3 linked regions of the Xenopus tropicalis genome follow. The protein of the gene in region 1 purifies or fractionates together with the protein of each later gene. This does not show direct contact. Links are inferred from orthologs where the notes say so. Each region holds a gene or a part of one and is shown on either strand. Other genes may lie near its edges.

Region 1 (4,209 bases):
GAGATGGCGCTGGCCCGGCCCGTATGTCAAATTTTCAAAGTCGATGTGGACCCTGAGCCAAAAAGTTTGCCCACCCCTGGGTTAACTTCTCAGAGGCACCCCACCCAGTTTGGTTTTAGTTCGAGAAGTTACAACACCATTCGTTTTCCTTATGTATACATCTTTTGACTTTTACTTTACACCTCCCAGCAGCTCAGGACTCTGAGAAAGCAAGACCCCGACCCGCACAACCCCCCTAACGCCCTCCCATTACCTCCTCCCCCCTTCCCTAAAGGAATGATACACAATGAATCATACTTGTATACTTTATTGATGTAACCACACACAACTTTGTGAATCATTGACTGTAATGTTTTATGATCAATAAAAAAGTTAAAATACAAAAAAAAAAAAAAGAAATTGTGGGATTCTTTCCCTGAAGGGCTGGTAATGGCAGATACATTAGATAGCACTAGGAAAGGGTTGGGCGCCTTCATATCAGTGGAAAAATACAAGGTGTGTAACATTGAAAGTGACCATACACGGGCCAATTTCATCTGCCAATAATGGTTCTTTAGACCAATTCAGCAGCTTATCTGCCCAAGTTTGGGCACCCGACCAACATCTGGCTGAAATTGGCCAGCTTTCAATTGAGCAGGTTTGATATTTCTGTGGGATCCGACAGTGCCTGTTACTGCCGTCTAACCACCCGTCGGTGGGCATATTGGGGGAAGATCCTCGCCAAACAATCAGATCTTAAGTGTATGGCCACCTTAACTGTTAGCCCAGGTCCATCCATGAGAAGAAATAATCTATACACTGCTGTCTGGTTACTGGGTACCACTCACCTTAGCAACCAGACAGTATTTTACATTTCCAAAAGAAATCAAATAATAAAGAAATTCTAAAAAAAAAAATGCCCTTCAAATATTGGTCACAAACGCAGAACCGTATAGTCATTATATTTATTACAGGGTGTATGGCTTATGGGGCTGCTCAGCCTAACAGACAAAATGCAGATGACGAAGACCAGACATAAACAGTCCATTGTCCGTCAATGTAATCGCTTTAAGCCCTCGGATAAACACAGTTCGCGGGCAAAGGCAAAGTTTAGCGCTTTATCGATTTGCCCATACCCAATATGGCAGAGCACTCACTTCCGGCGAGTAACCCAGCGCCGCTCATTATTGTTGAAAAATAACCAAACCCGCCGCGTCTGGCCCCGCCCCCTCCCCCTTATTTCTATTACAAGCTAAAGAGGAAAAAAGCTCCGCCCAGCAACAGCCGCTTTCCCTTTTCTCCCCGGCCAGAGCTCCGCCCGCGTCGTGTGACGTCACCCCCTTCCCTCCAATGCGCCGAGTTCCCGCCCCTTGACGTTGCGTGTCCCGCCCCCCAGCCTCTGTCCGCCGGCCGTTTTCCCCTCAGTTCATGTCGCGCAAAAGAAAGAGAAAAAAAAGGAAAGAAGCGAGAGAAGCGAGAGGCGGGAACTCGGCGTATTCCCTCCCACACACCGTGCCTTACACCATGGAGCCCTAACGGACTGACTGGCCGCTCTCTGAGGGGTTCTGTGCACAGCGAAGGGGGCGGGACTGGCTGCGTTACCCCCTGTGTCTGGAACTTTATTTTCCCCCTCGCACTTCGCTCTTGGGGCCGCAGACATGTACGCCGGGGCCGGGCCGGGTGAGTTAGCGCTGCTTTATCCCAATCCCACTGCGCTGGGAGAGTCAGGGCCCTAGAAGCCCTGGAAACGGCGGGAGGGCCGCCTGGTCACATGGGGAGCCGGAGTGGGGGTCATTCCAACTTGTGCCTCTCCACCTGTCCTTCTACTCTCCAGCTGCTAGGAATGCTGGGAGCTGTAGTTCAGCAACAAGTGGTGACAGAGGGGGACTATCAGTTTGCAGTTGGTCTTTATTTTCATGATATTGTGTGTTTAACTGTTTTAGTGCTGCATTTCAATGCTGACCTAGGAACCCTAAATTGTAGTATGGAGGCTGGGCATATATTGTTTATTATGTATCTTTCTATTGGGTTTCCCCGTATGTTTATCATTTGTCATTCAGACTGCGGTGTAGTTGCTAGGGAACGTGGGGCCTTAGTAACCAGGCAACCATTTTAAATTCCTAGCCGGAGAACAAATCGCAAGTCATTAAAAAGCAGGAAAACTAAAAAAAAACACAAGTGCGAGTTGTAGTAGGAATACTTTGTCTGAGGGGTCCCCAACCTTTCTTACTTGTGAGACACAGCCAAATGTAAAAAGACTTGGGGAGCAACACAAGCACCATAAATGTTCAGCCAAATAAGGGCTGTGATTGGCTATTAGGCACCTCTATGCACCCTATCAGCTTACAGGGGCTTTATTTGGTAGGAAATCTTGTTTTTATTCAACCAAAACTTGCCCCCAAGTCAGGAATTCAAAAATAACTCCCTGGTTTGGGGGCACTGAGAGCAACATCCAAGGGGTTGGGGAGCAACATGTTGCCCTGAGCCACTGGTTGGGGATCACTGTACTAAAGGCAATGTTAGGGTGAGCTGCTACTCCGACTAACAGATTGTGGATTCATTTTAATTGTGAGCGTTTTGTCCTACGTAATTGTGACCCAGACACTCTTGCATGTGTAACTATGAGCAGCGCTGGTAAATTGGATTCATCTGAAGGAAAAAAATTGCAAACCAGTAGGTAAAGGTGGCCATACACCTTCAGATTCGCTCGTTTGGCGATGTGGTCAAGCCAGCGGATCTTCTCCCAATATCCCCCACCTACGGGTGGGCGATATCGGGAGAATCTAGGCTAATTTGACTTGAATTATAACGACGGGTATAGGCAAAGTCGGTCCGGGGACTGCATCAACTAGCCAATGTGGTCCCCGATCCAACTAGATTTTCTAACCTGCCCGATCGAGATCTGCCCGATTTCAGACCAGATATCGGTCGGGCAGGCCCGTCGGTAGTGCCCATACACGGGCAGATTAGCTGCCGAATCGGTCTAAGGGACCCATATCAGCAGCTAGAATCGGCCCGTGTATGGGGACCTTAAAACTCACTCAGTAGCACGATTCAGCAATGGGTGCACATCCAGCAGGGGCCCCCACTCCTGGACACTTGCAGCCATAATATCAATATAACACCCCAAGCTTGATAGAGAGCCAATAAGGCTCAAAATGTTGCTGTTGCCGTTGTAGTGATAATAGTCATTTTAATGCTATTATGGAGTGCTGCCTGTAACGGTTTTAAAAAATAATTGTATGGTGTTTTAAAGGACAAGGAAACCCATGTGTGTATCATGTACCCCCTGCAGAGGTTTCCATCCCACCCATACTGCCCAGATCTGCCCTGTGCCTGTTAAACAGATGCAGAGTTGTGTAGTGGCAATGGGGGCTGCCATCTTGGGATGCACAACTAGAACTTGGAAAAAACAAAGTGCAGCAAATTTTCTGTATTAAAAATTAGCAATGGCTGCCGTCTCTGGCCGCTTGATGTCCAGCTCTCTTGGGGCGGTTGTTGGCCAGGAGCCTGTGCAGTTGAGGTCAGAATCAGACAGAAGTGGGCACAAACACCAATGCACTAATCTGTGTTTTACTGAAAGGTCTTGGCAAAGAAACAAGGGGGGTAAAGGTGGCAATAAACAGGCCAATTCTAGCTGCTGATATTGGTCCTTTAGACCGATTCGGTGGCTTATCTGCTCGTGTATGGGTACGAACAATGGGCCTCCCCGACTGAGGCCCTGAAATTGGCCAGATGTTTGTGCTGGTTTGGTTTCTCCGTTGGATCATGGTCCGCGTTGGCTTGTTGACGCAGTCCCTGAACCGACAGCACCTTATACCCGCCATTCTTATTCAATCTTTTGGCCCCAGGGCCAAATTAGCCCAATATCGTCCACCCGTGGGTGGGGATATCGGGAGAAGATCCACTCGCTTGGGGAGCGGATCTCACCATGTATGGCTAGCGTAAAGGTGCATGATTTAAACATGGCTTAAGTCACATGATAGTAAGGGTTCTGAATGGGGTTCTGTTAAAAGAAAGGTTTTGTGTGATTGGGCTGCCTGCCATAGTCCAGCATATACTGCTAGTTTGGCTGCTTTTGAATGGGAGCATTGCACGTGTGTTTGTTGCAGGGAAGTTGGAGTGTTAGCTCAGCTGGGGCATTAGCCGGTATCCATTATACATTCTCTGTGCAGTGTTGGGGCTCTGGAATGTACGTGCACCAGTTGTAAGGCTTTCTGTGGTTGGTGT
Region 2 (2,693 bases), on another chromosome or scaffold:
GGACTATGTTCAGGAGGCTTCCTTCTTTTATATGCAGGTATTCTGCCATGTTCTTCATATTATAGCAATGATGCCGGACAATACATGTGAGCCGCTTTATGTACTTTCACTTGAGATTCTGTCCCTGTATGAGACTCTAAGGGCAAGTGACACTTCAACAGACAGTTTTCTCAGAAGAGCTAACGAGAGGCATTTCTTGAAATCCATTACTGAGAATGTAAGTGATGAGCACCATCGCACAACTCTAATGCAAAAAATTAATAAATTGTAGAGAAAAACTTCCAGTGTGAGGAAAGAAACGTTTTTGAAAAAAACAGTGGTACATGAAACCTTTATCTAGCTGTATATTTAATAAATATTAACACCTAAAAATATAAGGATTAAGTACCCCCTAGTTCAAAAATTTATGGCTATTAAGTCACCAAGGAGCTGCAGTACTTTTATTGAAGTCATAAAAATATATGACACAAATAACATTTGTAAGAATTTGTATTACAAGTTATTGGATAAGTACTAAATTCTGCATTTAATAAGAAATTTAAACAAATCCCAGACTATTTATTTCAGGATTGAGATACATCTTGAGAACCTGGCCAAATTGTATCTGAACATTTCATTTTTTGCATATGGTGGAGTAGGAACAGGATTAGGTGAAATCTTTTGTGGCTAATTCAGTAAGTCATACTTTTTTCAGTTTTAACTTAGTATAGAATACTATTTTTTTTTTTTAGTTGAAATGTAATATCTTTCTTTATACGACCTGTTCTGCTGCGTAATTGCTTAGACCAATGCTACACAGAGCATATTCTCTGCCTGGGCACAGGTACACACAGTGAAATTTGGCATGAAACTGCTTGTGTGTGAGGATAAACACAGGCTCAGCCCCATGTGGCACTGGCCTAATACAAGGGGAAATTGCTTCCAACCAGTTTTAAACTACAAAAGCAGGCATAATTTACCCAGGTATGTACAATATAGCATAATACAGAAATCTGAAAATAGCATTTTGTACAAACATCTTGTATTTAAGCCATCAATGCTTAAATAGATAATATGCTCCTCTACACTTTTTGACATGAGCTTATTTATTTTGTTTTTTTATTTATTACATATTGCTGCTGTAAGTACCGGTTCCTAACCGCTTACAGCTATCCAACCCCTCCCTCACCTTGTTTCTTAAAGTGATAGATTATAGCATTTTAAGTCCTTCTGCTTTATAGAGGGGAAGTTCAAAAATTCTTTGAAAAGTAGAGGGAGTCCAAGTCACAGAATCCATCACTTCACAATGGAACAGGACGAAGGAGGGGTTGCATTACACTTTTTTTCAAAAAGCGGGATATGTTTTCCTTATATAGTCTGTAATCAGTCTAAGAGGATTCATTTTATATTTAATATACTAATATAAAACCATGGCTTGCCTTTTCCTTACTTGCCTGACGATGGGTGGGTTGCATTCTCCTGAAACGTTGATGCACGGTTGGTCATCTCCCTGACTGCATAAATAAGCGTGGGTGTCACTCCTTTAATATCACTATAGTCTTATTGTGGACCTTGCCTGGTTTAAAAGGAAGCTAGCACCAGTAGTCAGTTAAGACAGTGGGTGTGCAGCATATATCCTCATTGCCTGTTTCCTACCCATTATGGGATTTGCAAGTTATAAGATAAATATAACCATTAGTATGATCTATATCAGTTTTACTTATACTGATTCACATGTGCCTTTTTTGTTTTAATGTGTTTAAACAGACTGTTTTTTGACCAGAAATTCTGTGTAATACTTTCATATAGTTCCAAATTCAAGGTGTAGGACAAGTAAAGAATGAACAGAAAAGCACTTTGTTTTTTAAAGTAACGTAGCATGGAGTAATATATTGCAATAATGGTACAGTTATGGGTCACACGCATTACTTTTATACCAGCTAGATCTGAGCCATCCTGGGCTGCTATGTGTGCTTGGAGCCCTATTTGCATCTTAATAAATAAGGGTTTCCTTGTTAGCAGCTGCCTTGTCTCTTTCGGAGTGCTCTCAGACCCTGCACTGTTTTTGCTAGTTATTATCTGCAAATTCACATCATACTGTATCGGAAATTTGCAGAGTTTATTTCTCTAGTGAGAGCACCAGGGGGTATAATGTTATGTTAGCACTGAAAAAAATACAAAAAAATAAAAGATTTAATATAGATGCAGTTCAATGTGTCTGTCTTGATTTAATATACTGCATTTTTTCCTTAGGTTATTAAATATGAAGGTAATGTCTCCAATTGGTTGAAAAAAAACAAATCCTCTAATCCATACTGCGAAAAGCCATGGAGTTTAAGTTGTGTTTTGGACTGATTTATTGAGAAATTCCTCCAAAATCCCACTAGTCCAGTCCATCTGTCCCACTTCCTGCTGGCTGAATTCTCTGGATGTGCAAGGGAGCCAGCGGCTCTCAGAACACTGCATTGTAGGATATAAACCAATCAGCAGCTAGGCTGACCTGATAGGGAACTGAAGCATGTCTTTGCTTGTGTGAGTGCAGGGCTGTGGTTGGCTATCACCCTCTTACTGTGCTTCTGGCAGGGACTGTTAGGACACGCCCACTCTTCATTTGCAACACGGACAGAGAACTTATGGGATCTATAGGGAGTATGGATGCAGCGAATCCTGGATTTGGTTCGGGATTCGGGCTGGATCCAGCCTTTTTTGAAGGA
Region 3 (2,435 bases), on another chromosome or scaffold:
CAGTATATCCTTATGTTTATGTAGAGATGACTATATCCTTCACTGCAAATAGACTAGAAGCTGTGCCAGAATGTACAGTAGTGTGGCAAAAAACTCTATCCTGTATTCCTTGGGTTATTTTAATGTGAATTTATTAATTTCTGTTTTTAATTAGCAACCTTACTAATGCAGCTTTGGTATTTCTAGGTAGCATGAATCAAAACCAAAGGCTGGATGCTGTGGCCAAACTCAAGCAGTTCCATTGCCGGGTCTTAATTTCTACTGATTTAGTAAGTGACTAACCTGATAATGATTTGGGCTTTAACATGCAGAATTCTCTTAAAAAAGGCAGCTAGTATAATTTATTGAAAAAGAGTAAAACTTTTTGATCTAAAAGACACAGACGCCATTTTTTGATAAACTAGGATTATCCCTTGATACAGTGGAAGGCACAGAGGTCCCTGACATAGCCTGCTGTAGTTATTGATAATTACTTGCTGCCTTTCATTTTGGAAGTGCTAAAAAGAAATGAATTACAAAGAACTGTTGCATTGTAGAGCTCTGCACACTCTATTGATTCACTTTAATGTGAGTACAAACAGAATAAATTCACTGTAGAATTCTTGACTGTAGCAAACAGTATCTTATTAGTCTGAAGGATAGCTAGGAAGAGTTCGGTAAGATTGAACTGTAATTGCTAGGATTTTCATTCTGCATTAGACTTGGAAGTTAATTGAAGGTGTCAAGTGGCTACTGTTAAAAAGGACCCTCAAGGCTAGAAACACATTTTGTAGGCTGAAATATAAAAATCAACTCTCATGTATTAGAAGTATAAACAACGGACAAAGGTTTTTGCTTTTTATTCTAAGGCTGTGAAGGCAGAACCTTTTTTTTTTTTTTTTCTTTCTTTAAAGACTTCGCGGGGGATTGATGCAGAGAGGGTGAATCTGGTTATTAATCTTGATGTTCCAGAGGACTGGGAAACCTATATGCATCGAATTGGAAGAGCTGGACGGTTTGGTAAATTATAAATACTTTACCTTTGGTGTGTGCTTAAATCTGTTGACTGTAAAGTATTATTCTGTAGTAGTGCTGGGCGGTATGACCAAAAATTTATATCACGGTATTTTTTTTATTATATCGGTATCACGGTATTTGACGGTATTTTTTTTTTCCCATGCATGATTAGGTGACCACCCCAAACACCCCCCCATCCAACCCCAAACACCCCCCCATCCAACCCCAAACAACCCCCATCCCCTTCACATAAATAAACCTTACGGGCCAGGCAGCCGCAGGCACCCCCGACAGCTCACAGAGCCTCCTGGCAATTTTTCTTACTATTTACGGGTTGCGCACGTGACGTCAGCGCGCACAACCCGGAAATAGTAAGAAAAATTGCCAGGAGGCGCCCACACCGGTATGCCGGTAAGTTAAAATTTTTTATCATTTTAAAAAAAAAAAAAAAACGGTGTTCGGTGTATACCGCCCAGCACTATTCTGTAGGTGTGCCTACTTTGCCTACGTAGTATGGACACTGGGTATGCCTACACATGGCAACTCTATCCCCTGTTCTACTCTATAAAAAGACTACATGGCTTTTTTTTATTTGCTTTTTAAAGGGGACCTGTCACTGACAAAGACAATAGAAAATAATTTGAGATTTCTTACAAACATAATAATCTTCACTCACACTATGTAAATAATATAAATTTTGTTTTCTTCAGTCTTGGAATTCACAATCCATTCTAAGAAGAAAGCAGGGTTATTCTTTCATTTTTATCACTAGCGCCCAATTTTTTTAAAAACATTGAAGCTGTAGCAGTTACAATTTACATGCACTTAGCCATTTTTCTTTATTTTTAGGGCTAGAAATGTAAAAGCTTCAACATTTTCAGAGCAGTTGCTAATGTAGTAATGGAATTTTGGTTAAAGTAGTAAAATGGTACTGACAGTACTACTTACAGTAGCATTTCAGTAACTTTGTCAAGATTATCGACATTAATACAATATTATGAATTTCTTCTTGTTTTGGCAATAAGAAAAGGATGCTATTTTTCTAAGTGCATTAATTGAGTGAGGTTCTTTATAAAAAGCAAGATGAGGGCAAAAAAACTGAAGTTGAACTGAAAAATATCCCTTCTTATCCTGTTATAGATGTAGGAGTGTTTGAGATGGAATAAAAAATACCATCTGTTGAACAGCTCCTCTTATTAGTTTTCTTAACCAGTTGCAAAAGGTAATTCATTCCCATGGTTCAAGATGTTTTGTAGCCTTGAAGCTTAATAAGGCTTGCTGTACAAATTCTAAAACTCTAATCCATGTGTATAACTACTGAATCTTTGCAGGTACTCATGGCCTCTCTGTAACTTTCTGTTGCCATGGGGAAGAGGAGAATATGATGATGGGAATTGCAATGAAATGCAATCTTAAGCTTTTGCCTTTACCAGGTAAAA

The links. Proteins that work in one complex are often made in the same cells at the same time.
Region 2: the proteins of ago2 (region 1) and gemin4 purify together in Homo sapiens (affinity purification with western blotting; 4 studies listed by BioGRID and IntAct, with this or other methods). This does not show direct contact. The link is inferred for Xenopus tropicalis from reciprocal best matches to the Homo sapiens genes AGO2 and GEMIN4.
Region 3: the proteins of ago2 (region 1) and ddx20 purify together in Homo sapiens (affinity purification with western blotting; 3 studies listed by BioGRID). This does not show direct contact. The link is inferred for Xenopus tropicalis from reciprocal best matches to the Homo sapiens genes AGO2 and DDX20.

The regions. Positions count from the first base shown.
Region 1 is NC_030682.2:146,755,565-146,759,773, forward strand, and holds the start of ago2 (protein argonaute-2), read left to right. Parts: upstream 1-1,399; 5' UTR 1,400-1,637; coding exon 1,638-1,659; intron 1,660-4,209.
Region 2 is NC_030678.2:96,483,723-96,486,415, forward strand, and holds the end of gemin4 (gem-associated protein 4), read left to right. Parts: coding exon 1-271; 3' UTR 272-2,186; downstream 2,187-2,693. UniProt on the Homo sapiens protein: The SMN complex catalyzes the assembly of small nuclear ribonucleoproteins (snRNPs), the building blocks of the spliceosome, and thereby plays an important role in the splicing of cellular pre-mRNAs.
Region 3 is NC_030678.2:59,584,986-59,587,420, forward strand, and holds part of ddx20 (probable ATP-dependent RNA helicase DDX20), read left to right. Parts: intron 1-186; coding exon 187-269; intron 270-893; coding exon 894-999; intron 1,000-2,327; coding exon 2,328-2,429; intron 2,430-2,435.